Oryzias latipes: one gene and its partner. The protein of the gene in region 1 interacts with the protein of each later gene in a biochemical or structural test. Links are inferred from orthologs where the notes say so. Each region holds a gene or a part of one and is shown on either strand. Other genes may lie near its edges.

What was found.
Region 2: of the proteins of mapkapk2 (region 1) and zfp36l1, one has a biochemical effect on the other in vitro, tested with the Homo sapiens proteins (2 studies listed by BioGRID). The link is inferred for Oryzias latipes from reciprocal best matches to the Homo sapiens genes MAPKAPK2 and ZFP36L1.

Annotation. Positions count from the first base shown.
Region 1 is NC_019863.2:27,964,316-27,971,872, forward strand, and holds part of mapkapk2 (MAP kinase-activated protein kinase 2), read right to left. Parts: intron 4,411-7,557; coding exon 4,271-4,410; intron 1-4,270. UniProt on the Homo sapiens protein: Stress-activated serine/threonine-protein kinase involved in cytokine production, endocytosis, reorganization of the cytoskeleton, cell migration, cell cycle control, chromatin remodeling, DNA damage response and transcriptional regulation.
Region 2 is NC_019880.2:4,538,618-4,546,826, reverse strand, and holds zfp36l1 (mRNA decay activator protein ZFP36L1), read right to left. Parts: upstream 4,271-8,209; 5' UTR 4,112-4,270; coding exon 4,061-4,111; intron 3,220-4,060; coding exon 2,170-3,219; 3' UTR 139-2,169; downstream 1-138. UniProt on the Homo sapiens protein: Zinc-finger RNA-binding protein that destabilizes several cytoplasmic AU-rich element (ARE)-containing mRNA transcripts by promoting their poly(A) tail removal or deadenylation, and hence provide a mechanism for attenuating protein synthesis.

The DNA.
Region 1 (7,557 bases):
CTTTCTAATTTTGTTTCTGTACATTACCACAGTGAATTTTAAATAAAACAACTCAGATGCCATTGAAGTGCAGACTTTCAGCTTTTATTCCATGGGTTGAACAAAAAGATTGCATAAAAATGTGAAAAACTAAAGCATTTTTTAAACACACTTTTTTTCATTTCATGGGGTCGTAAGTAATTGGACAAATGAAATAACTGAAAACAAAATGGTCATTACTAATATTTGGATGAAAAGCCTTTGTTGGCAACGACAGCCTGAAGTCTTGAACTCATGGACATCACCAGATGCTGGGTTTTCTCCTTCTGAATGCTCTGCCAGGCCTTTACTGCAGCGGCTTTCAGTTGCTGTTTGTTTGTGGGCCTTTCTGTCTGAAGTTTAGTCTTCAATAAGTGAAATGCTGCTCAGTTGGGTTAAGATCAGGTGACTGACTTGGCCATTCAAGAATATTCCACTTCTTTGCTTTAATAAACTCCTGAGTTTCTTTGGCTGTATGTTTTGGGTCGTTGTCCATCTGTGTTATGAAACGCCGCCCAATCAGTTTGGCTGCATTCACCTGGATCTGCGCAGACAGTATGTCTCTGAACACCTCAGAATTCATTGGGCTGCTTCAGTCCTGTGTCACGTCATCAATAAACACTAATGTCCCAGTGCCACTAGCAGCCATGCACGCCCAGACCATCATACTGCCTCCACCGTGTTTTACTGATGATGTAGTGTGCTTTGGATCATGAGCTTCTCCACGCCTTCTCCACACTTTTCTTTTGCCAGTATTCTGGTAGAGGTTGATTTTGGTTTCATCTGTCCAAAGAACGTTTTTCCAGAACTGTGCTGGCTTTTTTAGATAATTTTTAGCAAAGTCCAATCTAGCCTTCCTATTCTTGAGGCTTATGAGTGGCTTGCATCTTGCAGTGTACACTCTGTATCTACTCCCATGCAGTCTTCTTTTTATGGTAGACTTGGATATTGTTATGCCTACCTACTGGAGAGTGTTGTTCACTTGGTTGGCTGTTGTGAATAGGTTCCTCTTCCCCATGGAAATGATTCTGCGATCATCCACTGTTGTCTTCCGTGGATGTCCAGGTCTTTTTGCGTTGCTGAGCTCACCAGTGCTTTCTTTCTTTCTCAGGATGTACCACACTGTTGATTTAGCCACTCCTAATACTGTAGCAATTTCTGGCATGTTTTCTTCTTTTTTCTCAGCTTAATGATGGCTCCTTTCACCTGCATGAGCTCCTTTGACCACATGTTGTCTGTTCACAGCAAAATCTTCTAAATGCAAGCACGAGTCCTCTAGTCAGCTCTAGGCCTTTCATCTGCTTCACTCATAATGACATAACAAGGGAATTGCCCACACCTGCCCATGCAATAGCATAGAAGTCAATTGTCCAATTACTTATGAGCCCATGAAATGAAGGGATTGTGTTTAAAAATGCTTTAGTTTTTCACATTTTTATGCAATCTTTTTGTTCAACCCATGGAATAAAAGCTGAAAATCTGCACTTCAATGGCATCTGAGTTGTTTTATTTAAAATTTTTCATTTTTTTCTGTACCGCTTTGTCCCTTTCGGGGTCACGGGGCTGCCGGAGCCTATCCCGGCTACTTGGGCGTAGGCAGGGGATGCCCTGGACAGGTCGCCAGTCTGTCGCAGGGTAGAACGTCCACAGTCACACACCCATTCACTCTCACACTCACACCTATGGACAATTTAGAGTTGCCAATTAACCTATGAAGCATGTTTTTGGACAGTGGGAGGAAGCCGGAGATCCCGGAGAAAACCCACGCATGCACGGGGAGAACATGCAAACTCCACACAGAAAGGTCCCCCATTGATGTATTTTTCAAGTCCCCCAGCCAGGACTTAAACCGGGGGCCTTCTTGCTGTGAGGCAAGAGCACTAACCACTGCGCCACCGTGCAGCCCTTGTTTTATTTAAAATGCACTGTGGTAATGTACAGAAAGAAAATTAGAAAGATTGCATCTCTGTCCAAATATTTTTGGTCCTGACTGTATATAAAGAAAAATCCAGCTTGAAATGGTGTTTCTGAGTATTTCTTTATTCAAATCGCTGTGAATCAGGAGCAAACAAAAAATGCAGTTTGAAAAAGCTTGTAGTTGTGATGTAGGCATTACAATGGCTAGGCCACAAGCTCCCTGCTCCGCTCCATTCCGATGGTTCTGCTTGCAGAGAAAAAGATCCATACTGTTTACGTCTTCATTTTCCTCGTCTGAGCATCAAAACCGTACGGCTGGGTAGCTCCAATGTTGCTCGCCATTTTTGTTGCACTGGTGATGTTAGGTTGGGGGTGTGAGGAGCTGTAAGCTAGCAGGAGAGAATGTAAACAAAGGGATGATAGGAAGTGTGGGCAGGTTTACACTGAGCCAATTGTCTCACCCACAACTTTCTAATGAACTCCTGCCGCTCTGCAGAAACTATGTCCTAGAAATTTCAATGAAAATATTTTTTTCAATGATTTGATGATAAATGATGATTAAAAACTCAAAATGACTAAGTGTAACCACCCTGTTCTAAATAAACTAATGAATTACTTCACATTAGGTGATTCATTAATTTATAGAGAATAGGGTGGTGTGTCACTTTTTAAACTAATCTTTATTTTATGTAATAGATTCTCCAATGGTCATTAGCGTAATGTGTAATTTCTTTATCAGCACATAGCAGCAAGTGTTTTTTTTCTTTTGTAATCCCACAATGTACATTTAGTTGAGTTAAGAAAAGTCTTATTTATTGCCAACTTAGTTTTTCTCAAAACTGACATATGTGGTGAAGAGAATTCAGTAATTTTTCTAAATAAAAAAAACGCAGAATCAAACAGTATAGAAAATGGAAAAAAAATGCAAGTTATGATTCTTTTTTTGTGGTCTTGTTTGTACCAATTGACTTACGGACGACTTCTGGTCGTTTTTGCGTGGAAAAACTGCATCAATGAGCTTGGGTTTGATTTCACAATCAGTAGCTTCCTCTTCTCAAAAGGAGCAAAAACAATAGAAATACATCAAAGACCAAATGATAGACTGTGCAGGAAGTGACAGGAAACTGCTCCAACAAGTCAAGTGCTGCAGAAAACAGCGGTTGAATTTGGCTTACCTGTGACAAAGTCACAAGGATTGTGGTTTCCTCCCACAACATCCGACAAGGTCCGTAAAAATACTCAAATAATAAAATGTCCAAAAAAATAAATAAGTTTGGGGTTGTGTAATCTGGCTTCCTCCCACAGCCCACCAGCATATCTGATAGATTTTTTTTAAAGCTTCTAAACCGTGGTTGGCTCCATGCCAACATTTGTGAGTAACAAGTGACCTTGTCCATATAAGGACTTTGGCCTTTGCATTTTTAAAGACCCACTCCAATCAAAATCACCTTTCTGTTGTGAATCAGGAGCAAACGGAAAAAAAAAGCAGTTTGTAAAAGCTTGTAGTTGTGAGATAAGTGTTACAGTGGGCAGGCCATCCCTCCCTACTCCGCTCCATTCCGATGCGTCCACTTGCAGACAAATGGATCTGTTAATGTTTTCATTTTCCCCGTTTGAGCTGGCATCTTGCTCAAAATCGTACAGGGGGATGCTTCGATATTCCTCACCATTTTTGCGGCACCACTAATGTTAGGTCAGGGGTGTGATGACCTGTTAGCTAGCTGGAGAAAGTGTAAACAAAGGGATTATGGGAAATCGGTCCCGCCCACAACTCAGAGGCAGATTTCAAATGAATTACTGCCACTCTGCAGAAACTTTGTCCAAGAAAACAACACGTGCTTTTTGATTTTGGCTAAAAACAGCATAATTATAATTCAAACACCACTGGGAACACAATAGATCAAAAGATGATTGGAGTGGGACTTTAAGCCATATTTTATGCAAATATTAAAAATCTCTCTCTAATATGAAGGTTTCAGCTTTTAATGATAAAGATGAAGAATTCCTCCACCATACAAGATGAAATTCCTTGCCTTATTTCCCTGAGTAGAGTAGAAATACTTCATATAGATCAGAACTATTTGAAGGTCTTGATAAATCTACAATGGTAATGATTTAAAACTTTGCAAGTGTTTTCTAGAAGTGTGCTTTTTTAACTCAAGGTTCAATTCCAAACTGAATGTCATCAAGGACGGATTGGATTGAAACGCAGACTCCCATCTGGTCACTCCATTCTTAGTACTGCGGATGTGTGCTAATAAGGATTGCCTCAAAAGGTTTTGTGTGTGTGTGTGTGTGTGTGTGTGTGTGTGTGTGTGCAGGGGACTGTGCTTACCATTCCATGACAATAAGCAGACACTTCCTTCCCTGATAGAGGTTTTCAAAGACATCGATGATGCGCACAATACTGGCACAAGGTGATGCCCTCCAGTGAAGCTCCGCTTCCCTGCGTGCCTTGGGACAGTCCTGAAGCATCTGAAGACAGAGAAGGTTAGGTTAGTTATCCTGTGTTACGCATCTAAATAACTTAACTTGCAGGCAAGAAGTCAGGATGAAGGAAATTTGTTTTTTTGTCAACATTTCTGTACGAAAACTGAGAAAAGCATGGGATGGTGGACAATATGAATAAAGAATTAATAATAATAAAAAGGAAGAACATGGGTCAAATACTATTTTATTACAATGATCAAAAAGTGACATTTTTAAAGTGAGTTTGTTCAAATTAGATTTGTGCAACTATGGCACCCTCTTTGTGCAGCACAAACTCATTACACCATTTATTATAACTACAATCAAATTACCGGTAAATGAAATGCTTTTTTTTAACGTTGCTAAAAAGTGTAATAAAAATGACTATATAAATAGACATTTATAAATTCTAACATTTGTTCCCCTGTGGTTAATTACATTAATCTAAAGAGTAAAGAAAAATCTAGTTTTAGGCTTAAATCTTTATAGATCAAGTACTTATCTTTTCTGAGGTGTTCATTTTTTTTAAAATCCATGTAACGTTATTTTTTGTTGTTTTATTTAGGGTTTTTTTGTCAGTTGTGTAAGTTTACAACTTAACCTGAGTTCACAAATACAAAAAAGGAAACATTCATCTACAGGGGAGGGTGCCGTCTCCATGGTTACACCCTAAAAATCAAGTCTGTCACAATGTAATGGAAGATCCCCTTTTCAAAGTATGCCTTCAAACAGTGAAGGGAAACGCGCCACACTAACATCACTAATGTAATGCAGGACAAAATGAATTTTCAGTCCATCTGGTAGCGCACAACATTCCAACACTGCCCACAACTTCACAGTGGGCTTCATTCCACAGACAACAAACGTCTACTTTTCTCAAAGGAGTAATGCACACAAGTGTTTGTGCATTACAAACTAAAAACATTAACAAGTTATTTGTGAAACAAAAGTAAGAAGCCAAAGAAAACAGATGTCAGCTAATTCAGTTTTAAAAAGGCATTCCCATGGATCACATATGAAATTCTAAATCTAATTTGCAAAAAATCTTTGTCTTATCTGGTGTGAGAAACGGCTGATAATGGTACAAAAGCCTGCTTGGTGTGCCACGTTCCCTCTATGTGCAAAGCTTAGACTTAAAGATCTCTGGATATTTTCAAATTTGAGTCAGTCTTAAAAGGTCACCACTGTTTCTAACAAAAATATATTTTTTAATTCAACGCAGTACATTTTTGATTGATGCAGAAAACATCTGATTGCACCTATTTTTATGCTGAAAGATCTTTGGTGCATTATATATGAACATGAAATTAAGATAAATGATACAATGGTGCCACCTGCTGATGGAAAATAGACACTGCAGTTCCACTCTGATAGGAGGTAAACTACAGTCACAAGTTGTTTTTAGAACGTTGACATCATCAATGTCACCAGCAAAAAATAATTAAAAAAAGATGAGAGATCAAAATCTAAAAGTTTACAACCAGCTGGAGTCTTTCTGCATGAACTAATGCATGTTTACATTGCATCTGCATCAGTTATGCTCATCAAATGCATACATGAATGATGTCTAAGTCTTTAAAGCTCTGAGAGCACATATTTTTTCTTTGTGCAATTCCATTGACAATGTTAGACACAAGTTTGACCCAACGGAAGCAGAGCATATAGATAATGAGAGGGTGAGTCATGACTCGGTCATCCTCCACAGAAGTGATACTTTTAGTGTCGCATGCAGGGCCACAAGAACAAGAACAGAGGGCTTTCTGGCTGAAACATTTTCCACTTCACAAGGAGTTCAAGTGCAGAGCTCCTGTGAAATCCTGACAGAGCTGCTGTAAGCTAACATGAGCATCACTTTATAGAAAGTACTACAATTTAGCTCCAATCTTAAAATCCTCAAACTCAAAAATGAAGACATCCAAATAAATCTGTCTTTAAGGTAAACTTTTTGAACATGTTCCAATTTTCGAAACGACTGCCAGCATCTAGCAAATGTCCACCTTGGTGTAGTTATTCAGAAAAAGCATCGAGTTTTAGACATTGTTTTGGAAGACGAGAGGTCTTCTGCATTTAGATATCAGTTTCCAGAGAAAAGGAAAAACTAACTGTAGGCTATTTAATTTAAAAAAAAATCCCCTAAAAGGCCAAGGAAAGGTTTGAAAAGCTAAAAACAAGTTACATTTGCAGATTTTGATTGAAGTCAATTTTAGGTCAGCCATAACATTTTAAATTGATTTTAACAAGATTTGATTTAAAAAGTGGTTTAAAATGATGTAAAAACTGGGATATATGTTGGGTCTATAACAGATTTCTCCATGGGAATAATTAACAGGACTAAGTGTCCTGTTCTGCTAGGATGTTAGTCATCAACAGTTGGTTTGGTCTTTAGAATTCAAGAAAATGTATAACAATGGGTAACAGTAGCGGGATTCTTTTAAGTGCAGTAAGAATATACAACTGCAGGTACAGGGATGATACAGTCCCTGTATGATTTACAGTGCTTGTCCCCTGAAGGGTGTAAGGGTGCAAAACAGGATTGCATGCAATGAAGGAAAAATAGATTCACTGCGCTTATCTGCAGTTTGGGTTATTTTTCATTTCTTCACAGAACATAAATACATCTGAATACACTTATACCAAAAATACTGAGAATTTTGTATTTTAAGACCAGAAATAAAATGGAAAAAAAGTCCTACATATTCTTCTTTCTTAAATGCTCACTGTAAACATGTATACGTAAATCATGTTAACAAGAAAAGAAGTCAGTTATCTTATTCAGACGTACACTGTGGTTTTAAACATTGAAACAAATGTGGTCATTGAGCCATTAGGTCTTTGTTTCATAGAAGGTTCGGTGACAATTGCTAATAACGGAATTTAGCCAATCACAATCAAGAAAGCATCTATCCAGTTTTAGAAAGTGCTGGGGGGGGGTCCACATTTTTTTACAGGCACATGTGGGCCGTAGAACTTTGAATGCGTGATGCATTTGCCTCTGGGGCCGGACCTGGACATGCCTGGCTTAAGGAGTCCTTTAAAATAATTTAGCCCCTCCCCCTGTGCCCAAAACAAGTCTGCAGTTAGTGAAAGGATTTACATTTTATACAAAAGCAGAAAAATAAGACTTATTATTCAAAAACAATAGAAGAAACAATT
Region 2 (8,209 bases), on another chromosome or scaffold:
CTGATTCACTACCGTAAATCTGAGCTCCAGAGAAAAAGAATAAGTTTAGATATTACGTTTTTTTATAGCAGGTCATTTGAATGTCTAACTTAAAAGTACACGTTGTGCATCGCTTGTCACAGAAACTCCAGAAACAGGTTTAACTTTTTCAAAAATACGGGGTTTATTGACTTAACTGCAATCAATACTTACAAAAGAAAAAAAAAAAAGGTTTTCCATAAGAAATTACTGTAGTGAAAACACATGGCTGGAACAAAACAAAAAAAATACATTCAACAGTTTTACTTTCTTTGTGTCAGACTGTTCACCTCCTCCAAAAAAACCACAGAGGGCAACAAGGAACAAGCGACATAAAAACTGTCCTCCATTATCAATATAAAAAGGCAAAAGTGCCTTAGCTACCTGGAATGTATTCGATGAGGCACTTCCACTGGTTAAGAGGCACATGGGGGGGGGGGGGCAAGCAAGCGCATCAAGCATCCAATCAAATTAAAAGAAAATTTATACTTTCCTCAACCCATTTGGTCAAAGCTATTGCTTGTAATAACGGACTAACATCTGAACATAACCAGTCCTCCAACTCACTGGACTGTCCTCAAACCACTGGATTTCTTTTTCTTAATTTGGCACCCCTTAAAACAAAACAAAAACAACCTCCAAACGGGGAACTTGGTTAAATTAACGTCATAACAGTGAGCAACTGTCGCTATCGGATCACTTTAAGGTCATGGGAATCGATCGAGCAAATCTAATAAAAAAAACAAAAAAGGTGGAATTGCAGTCCGATGAGGAGTAAAGAAAAATAAAGTACAATAAATATTAAAAAGAAACGCAAAACCACTTTTTTTCCATCTTTAAATAGTTTCATTTGACAAAAGTGTAGTTGCAGAACAAGTCATTGAAGTACAATATATTAAACTGTGAAAAAAAGAGAAAAAAAAAAGAAAGCTGACAAAAAACCGTCTTCACAATCTTTAGATTATTATGGAAGATCATAATTTAACATAAAAGAAAATATATTCTATTGTTCATTATCCAGATAAATACAAAAAACAAAAATTAACAAAAAAAATGCATATGATCACCAATAAATATGTTCTGATAAGTTAAATAAGCAGTGACACACAAACCTTCTGTCTGGAAAGTTTTTTTTTTTTTTCAAATAATAACCTTAATAAAAAATAATTAGAAAATAATGAAAGCAAAAGGGATGTAATGAATACAGAGAGCTCCTCTGAGCGAGGGGGGGTAAAGTAAAATAGCTTGGAGATCCGATCTTGTCGACACTTTTGGATGCAAACGGCATCATGGGAATGCTGAACTTCCCGGATCGAAGGCGAATGTGGAGAAGGTTGAATGTTTAGGGTTGATGAAGACTTCCTTCCCAAGTAAGAGAAAAAGCCAGTGACCAGCAACATGGGGGTGGGGGGCACAACCAACCTCCAGTTTAAAGTCCTTCTTGTACTCAGCCAGTTCAATTACATAAGGGCTTTAAAGGAAGAGGAGGGGCAAGTGAGGGAAAGAAAAAAAAAAAAAAGCAGTAGTCCATTCACCCTAAACATGCAGAAAACCGCCCCAGGCACTTTTTAACTATTTTTTTTTTTTAAAACCTATTCATATATTTTCAGGGTCTGTTATTTTTTTTTTTTGTTTTTTATTATATATCTCAGCTCAGTCTGTAAAAACGTCTGCCGTAGAGCTACATTAGTGAGCACCAACTAGCTAGCTCAGGATTTGAGGGTGGGTAAAGGAGGAGGGGGGGGGGGGGTCTGGTGCAATGCACCCCCCCCTTCCCAAGGCCACTTGTGCTGCTACACATTCAAGAATTGGTGGGGGGGGGGCACACAACAGAAAAAAGAAGGGACAAGTGGCACCTGGGAAAACAGTCAACGGTTGTTCATGATTTTCATTGTTCGGCTCTCTCTCCGGGTTTGGCACCACGACACGCCGGCCGCATCATCTGTGAGGGCTGATGTGCAGAATAAAGGAATTGGGGGGGGGGGGGTGAAATGACAACTGGAGTTAAGAAAGTTCCCTTAAATGATTACCCAGAGTTTGAGTAAAGCAGGCCAGAGAAGCTTCATGGGGAGGGGGCAGAGGTAGAGGGGAGTGCCATGTTTTCTGCGATAAAGGCGACTTGCCAGGTGTAGGGGGGGGGGGGGGGGGGGTCTAGTCATCAGAGATGGAGAGGCGGCTGAAGATGGGAAGGCGGCGTGTGGTGTCGAGGGTTGGGGACTCCGAGCCGCTCAGGCTCCCCCCGGAGCTGCTCTGATAGCCTTCCTGGTCTGACAGGGAGTCTGGGGGGCTGGATGGAGACTCGAACATCTGAGGGGACATGGATCTGATGAAGAAGGATCTGCTTGTGGGGGAAGGAGGAGCAGGGGTGTTGGACTCCACAGCACCGGTGCTGAGGCTGGGTCCAAACAGGCTGGCCAGCTCCTGGCTGGAATAGGTGAAGGGGTTGCTGCTGGGCCAGTCTGGGACCTCATCGGGGAAGAAGATGGGCGGCGGGGTGACGGAGGTGGGGCTGTCCCGCAGGCCGGCTGAGCTGGAGAAACCGGCGAAGCTGTAGCTGTGCTGCAGGCGAGGCCTTTCCATCTTGTTGGAAGAGTTTAGGGGGGAGGACTGCTGTGGGGGTCCACGGCGCTCCTCTGCATTGTGGATGAAATGGCAGCGAGGCCCGTAGGGGCAGAACCCGATGGTGTGAAAGGTGCGGCAGAGCTCTGTCTTGTATTTGGGATGGCGGCTCAGGCTGCGGAGTTCGTGGATGCCGTGGGCAAACTGGCATTTGTCACCGTACTTGCAGGAGCCGTTCTCCTCGAAGGGCCTGCAGAGCTCTGTCTTGTAACGGCTGGAGTTGACCTGGCTGCCCCCGCAGGTGGGGCTGGCAGGGCACTTGTTGATGAGCCTTTCCCCCGTCTCTGAGAAGGAGCGGTCTCGCAGGCGGTTCTCCTTGTTGCTGCTGGCGTTGCCAACCCCTGAGATGAGCGAGGAGTGGTCCGCTGCCTTCAGGCTGTTCAGAAACTGGTTCTGGTTGAACTTTGTGCTGCTGACAGAGTGCCGCCGCTGGTACACGCTTCCCACCGAGGGAGATCCCACCGCCTTCCTGTCCAGCAGGACCCCGGTGGGACTGGAGAGGGGCACGTTGGTGCCAGTGCAAGGGACAGACATGGGGTGGGGGAGACTCAGGTTGTTGTTGTAGCTCATCAGCTTGTTGTTCTGCAAGAATAAACAACGCTGCATTAGAGAAAAACATGAATGCAGAAGCTGCAGGTTAGAAGCTCGGATGCAGGTCGATAGGCCAGCAGCTGGTTTGGCAGGTTGCCTCGGTTAGGAATGTGCGCCTGCTCAGTAAAAAGGAGAAGCAGCACACCAGAGCTCTGTGCTGCAGGGGCCATTGCATCATTTGAAAGTTAATGAAAGCATTCTCTGCTGCATGACAAGAGGAACCTGATCTGCGTTACAAAGCACGTGCAAAACCAGCGGAGATCACCGGTTAGCCGATTTACATAAATGCAACAGATCAGGGGGGGCAGAGCGGGAAAACGGCGGCGGTGAAATAAACGATCCGTGGCGTGTATGCAAAAAAAAAAAAAAAAGAAAAGCAGCAAAAACCCACGCGTAAACAGGTCCCCGCTAAGCAAACATCCAGGTTAACCCGATCACGTTAAATGCTTTCCAGGGGCTATAGCCAGGCCAGCGTGGTCAATTATTAGCAAAGCACAAAACCCCGCGTGAGACTTTAACTTTACGACTTTAACTTTTGTTTTACGGCCTTCAAAAAGTTAGCTGATGTGGCACATGTTGAAAAGCTGATTCAAACTCATGCTAGCTCTAGCTAAAAGCCCGCGAGGCATTTTACTTATCACACATTATGGAGAGGAGAACGTAAACGGACAGAATTAGAACGGGGGAAAAAGGAAGATTAAAGCCAAACACACGTAGGAAAGGGAATCGGAGTCCGCAAAAATGGCGGCTCCTCATTCCTCCACAGCGGCTAACAGGCTAACCAGCAAGAAAGAAGAGGAAGAGAAGAAAACTTTTAAAGTTTCCCAGCTACCTTGTTCATTACTTCGAAGTCGAAGAAGGGAGAAACCACAGCTGTGGTCATGGCTGCACAGATCAATTCAAAAAGGTAATATGCGAAGAAAAAAAAAAAAAAAGCCCAAACGACTGTTGTTTGGAAAGTTACGCAGCTGCGCAGAGCCTCTGGTTCGCTGCTCCCGTGTGTTTTTCGCAGACTCCCCCTCTGCGCGTCTCCGGCTCACATTTGCTTTTATAATCTCAAGCAGGAGGAGCCTGCAGCTCTCTTTAGGGCGTCAACTTTCAGAAACTTTTTTTTTTTACCCCCCTCCCTCTCCGCTGTGTTAGTGGATATTCAACAGGTTTTCATGTAAAGGAATCAAACCTTTAACAGAGCTCAGATTCTGGATTTCTCTCAAAGAAAGAGAGAACATTGAAGTCTGAAGACTTTCCTCCTGTTTTTCTTTTCTTTTCTGAGGTTGTTTACCAGGAAGCACAGGATTTGATCCAGGATCTGCTCCTCTGTAATTAATTTACTCCTAATTGCTGAACTCTTGTGGGACTTTCCATGTGTTTAAGCAGTTTTAACTCCTTCCCTGCTGCAGTTAAATAACCATTACTGACTTGTTTTTATTCCTGGTCTTCCCTTTTTTTTCCACAGTTTCTTTTCTTTTTTTTTTTTTTTTTGCAGCCCTAGCGTGTGATATAAAATCTCACAAGCTGCAAATCCATGACAGACCTTTGAAAATCCATGAGAGTGCAGCAGGCAGAGTTTGCCTCAGAACACAGGAGGCGGCAAAAAAGAAAAAAAAAGAAAAGAAAAGTTGGGGGAGCGTGTTGTTAACAAAAAAAAAAAAAAAAAAAGTTGGAGGAGGGGATGAGGAGGAGATTTATGGTGGACGTTTATTACTACACAGCACTGCCCCAGGGAGGTGAATGAGGCTGGTGGGGATAGAGGAGGCAGAACATTCCCTTTCCCCTTCCTCCTTTTTGCCTATCCAGGAGCCAAGCAGGAGGAGGTGGTGGGGGGAGAGCTTTGTCTCCCTGGAGGAGGCAGGGAAGCTTGTTTTTGCAAAGAAAGGAGAGTCCAACTAATGCAGCAAGAAAAGTAGATGAAACCTTTTTGGTTTTCAGCTGCTTTTGCAGGCAGGGAGGCGGGCAGGCAGGCAGGCAGGGCGTGTTTGAGTTTTACAACAAGCCGGGCCTTGTGGAGCCATCTCCCCCTGCAGTGTTTTCACAGACGACAGGCCGGGATGACACACTTGCTAGAAATCACGTCTGCAGTTCAAAGGCCTGGTAACTGATTGATCAGATGGATCATCTGAGGATCTGATAGAGTGTTTGAGGAATAAATACAGCAGGGGGAGAGGGGGAGTAGTCTTTATTTCCCAGGGAACACAAACACTTGGGAGCTTTCTGGAACCTTTATTACTACAAAAATCACCCTATTTCTAATGTGCAATAGTATGTTTTTATAATACTCTGTGTGCATTTTCTGCAGTTACATTCTCCTGCCAGTAGGATATTTCACTACCATGTAACCCTTGTGCTATCCTAGGCACTTTAACATTGGGGAGTTGGGTCATCTAGACCCACTAGACAGTGCGTTAAAACTTCTTTCTTCAATGATTTGTGATCTTCACTGGTGTCCATGGATTACATGAAATCTTTCCACCTTTATCCACCTTTGTCATGGTAGGGAGAACACGTCAATGTAAGGGTGGGGTCATCTAAGATAGCACAAGGGTTAAAACCCTCTCCAATCATAATCGTGTTTTGGACGTTTTTAACATGTTCTTGTAGCATTTTTCTCATGATGGAGGACACATTTAGGAGCAGACAAAAAAAATGCAGTTGGAAAAAGCTTGTATGTGTGACATAAAACCTACAACGGTAAGTCAGAAGCTCCAAGCTCTATTCTGATGCATCCGCTTGTAGACGACTGGATCCATGTACGTTTTCCATGTACGAGCTGGCATCTGCCTCGAAACACAGGAGTGTAAACAGATTGATGACGGAAAGTAGGGGCGGGCTCACTGTTGGTCCCACCCACCTACACTCAGAGGCAAATTTCTAATGAACTCCTGCTGCTCTGCAGAAACGATTTCCTAAAAATTGCACATTATTTATTTGGGCTAAAAATGGCATAATCATAATCAAAAGCCCACTGTGGCCGCTTTTACGACTGGAGTGGAGCTGCTGCTCAGGCTTGAACGTTGTCTTTTCCTCTTGCAAATGTGTTTCTGTGCTCAATTTTGTTCGACTCAGATGTTTCTCTAGGCTCAGGAAGAGGCACCTGTTTCCTGCCTGAATGAAAATATAAATGAAAAAAAAAAAAGCTAGTTTGTTCTCTTAAGGGATGAAGTCAGATGCACGCTTGCTTTTCACATGCAAGCAGTTAACCTCCTGAACGACTGCTGACATAACTTTGACACAGTGTGTTGCGACAGTTTGCCCCGTGACTTGTTGCTCTGCTGAGGTTGTGATTGCAGGAAAGAGCATCTGTGGACTTCCTCAGTAAATCTGCTTGAAGTGACAATTCTTTGTGACGCCACTGTGAAGCATAGTTCAAAAGATGGAAGTTAGGGAAAGTTTCCTCCCGAAAGGTCGACGTTTTCAGTCCCTTTGTTTGTTCATACATATTTGGAAATGTTGTACGACACCCAAAAGTTCTTTAAAACCTTGTGTTTTTATTGGTCCCATTCCCCTGCTGTTGACAGCATGCAGTTCTCCCTCTGTAAAGTTGATTTCCAAGCGTTTGTGCAGCCTGGGGTCAAGGCTGAACTCCGTTTTTTTTCTGAGTGGTTTAGATTTCTGACTTTTCTGCTCCCCTCCCCACTCCAACACACACACAGACTCTTCAGAAGGGAGGATGGGGTTGGAGCTTGAGGTCACAGATAACATTTAGGGGGGATGACAGGATGTTTAATTTTTATCTAACTCAACAGGAGATGAAAGAAGTCAGGGGGAGAAAACACAAATGCTTGCTGGGGGATTATTAAAATCTGCTGCAGTGCTACATTTAGGCCAGTAGAGGGCGGAGTTCTTCCCCATTCTCAATCCTTTATTTTTTAAAAGGAAGTTAATGTTTGTTTTTAGCACAACTATACTTAAAGTTGATATACTTTTCTGGTATATGTTGTGTAACAAGCATACACCAACTCAAGTTTTTGGTGAGACATTTCTACATGTTTTTTAAACACCTACTTTTCTTAATATGTTGCAAAAAATGAGAATTTTTATTTTTAAATGTTACTTGAGTGATTTGACATGTTTCAGAAACATGCAAGAACTTTTAATCACAAAGAAAATAAATCAAAAATTTACTCTTTAAAAGTGAAAAATCCTCCTCTCAGCTGTTTTGAAGTAGAGTTTGAATAAAGTATTCTCTTTAATCTGTGTTGTTATGAGTCCCATAAACTCCATAAACTTTTCCATTACTTCCTGTTTGTCTGAGCACATCTTTCGAAACAGTGACAGGACAGCACATCGAGTTGAGCAATCACCGGTCAAGGACAGCCAAGTCTGAGCAGAGTTTGATTTCCTGCCTGTTTGAGCCTGTGTTCACACTCAAACTGCATGCGCCTCATTCCTCCATCTCCAACATCCCGGCTTGTCTGTGTGATCTGGTTCTTGTCTGTGTAAGCTTTGACGGCCAAGCGCACCACGATGGCATCCTTTCATGTCTGGTGGAAGGCAGAGTTCATGTGGGAGCGCTGTGGTCATCTCTCAGGGTGAAACTAACCTCATGGAGGAGAGTTTGAGGGGGAGGGAAAGATGGTAGAAAGAGAGAAAACAAGAACTTGCAGCAATTAATTGTCCATAAGAGAAGCCACAGCTCTGTTAGTGGTGAACCACCAACTGCTCTTGCTGATGTTGTTCCCACGAATCGCTCCAACATGCCCGTCCACTGCCCTTCATCTCACGCTGGGTGGGATGTGGCGTCAGTGCGAGCCCCGGCTCGTTGACACTTCACAGCCTCGTAATCATGGGCTGAGTTCAAAACTAACACTATCTTGACTTGCGGCTCTTTTGGTGCCACTTTGCAGAGAAATACAAGAAGAATAATGATGTTTTTGTTTGATGCAAGGTTACAAAAAATAGAAACAAAATAGTTTGTGACGCATAAGAAGATTTACTGAACACTGTTAGCATCACAGTCTCTAGAGGAGGGGGTGTCTTTAGA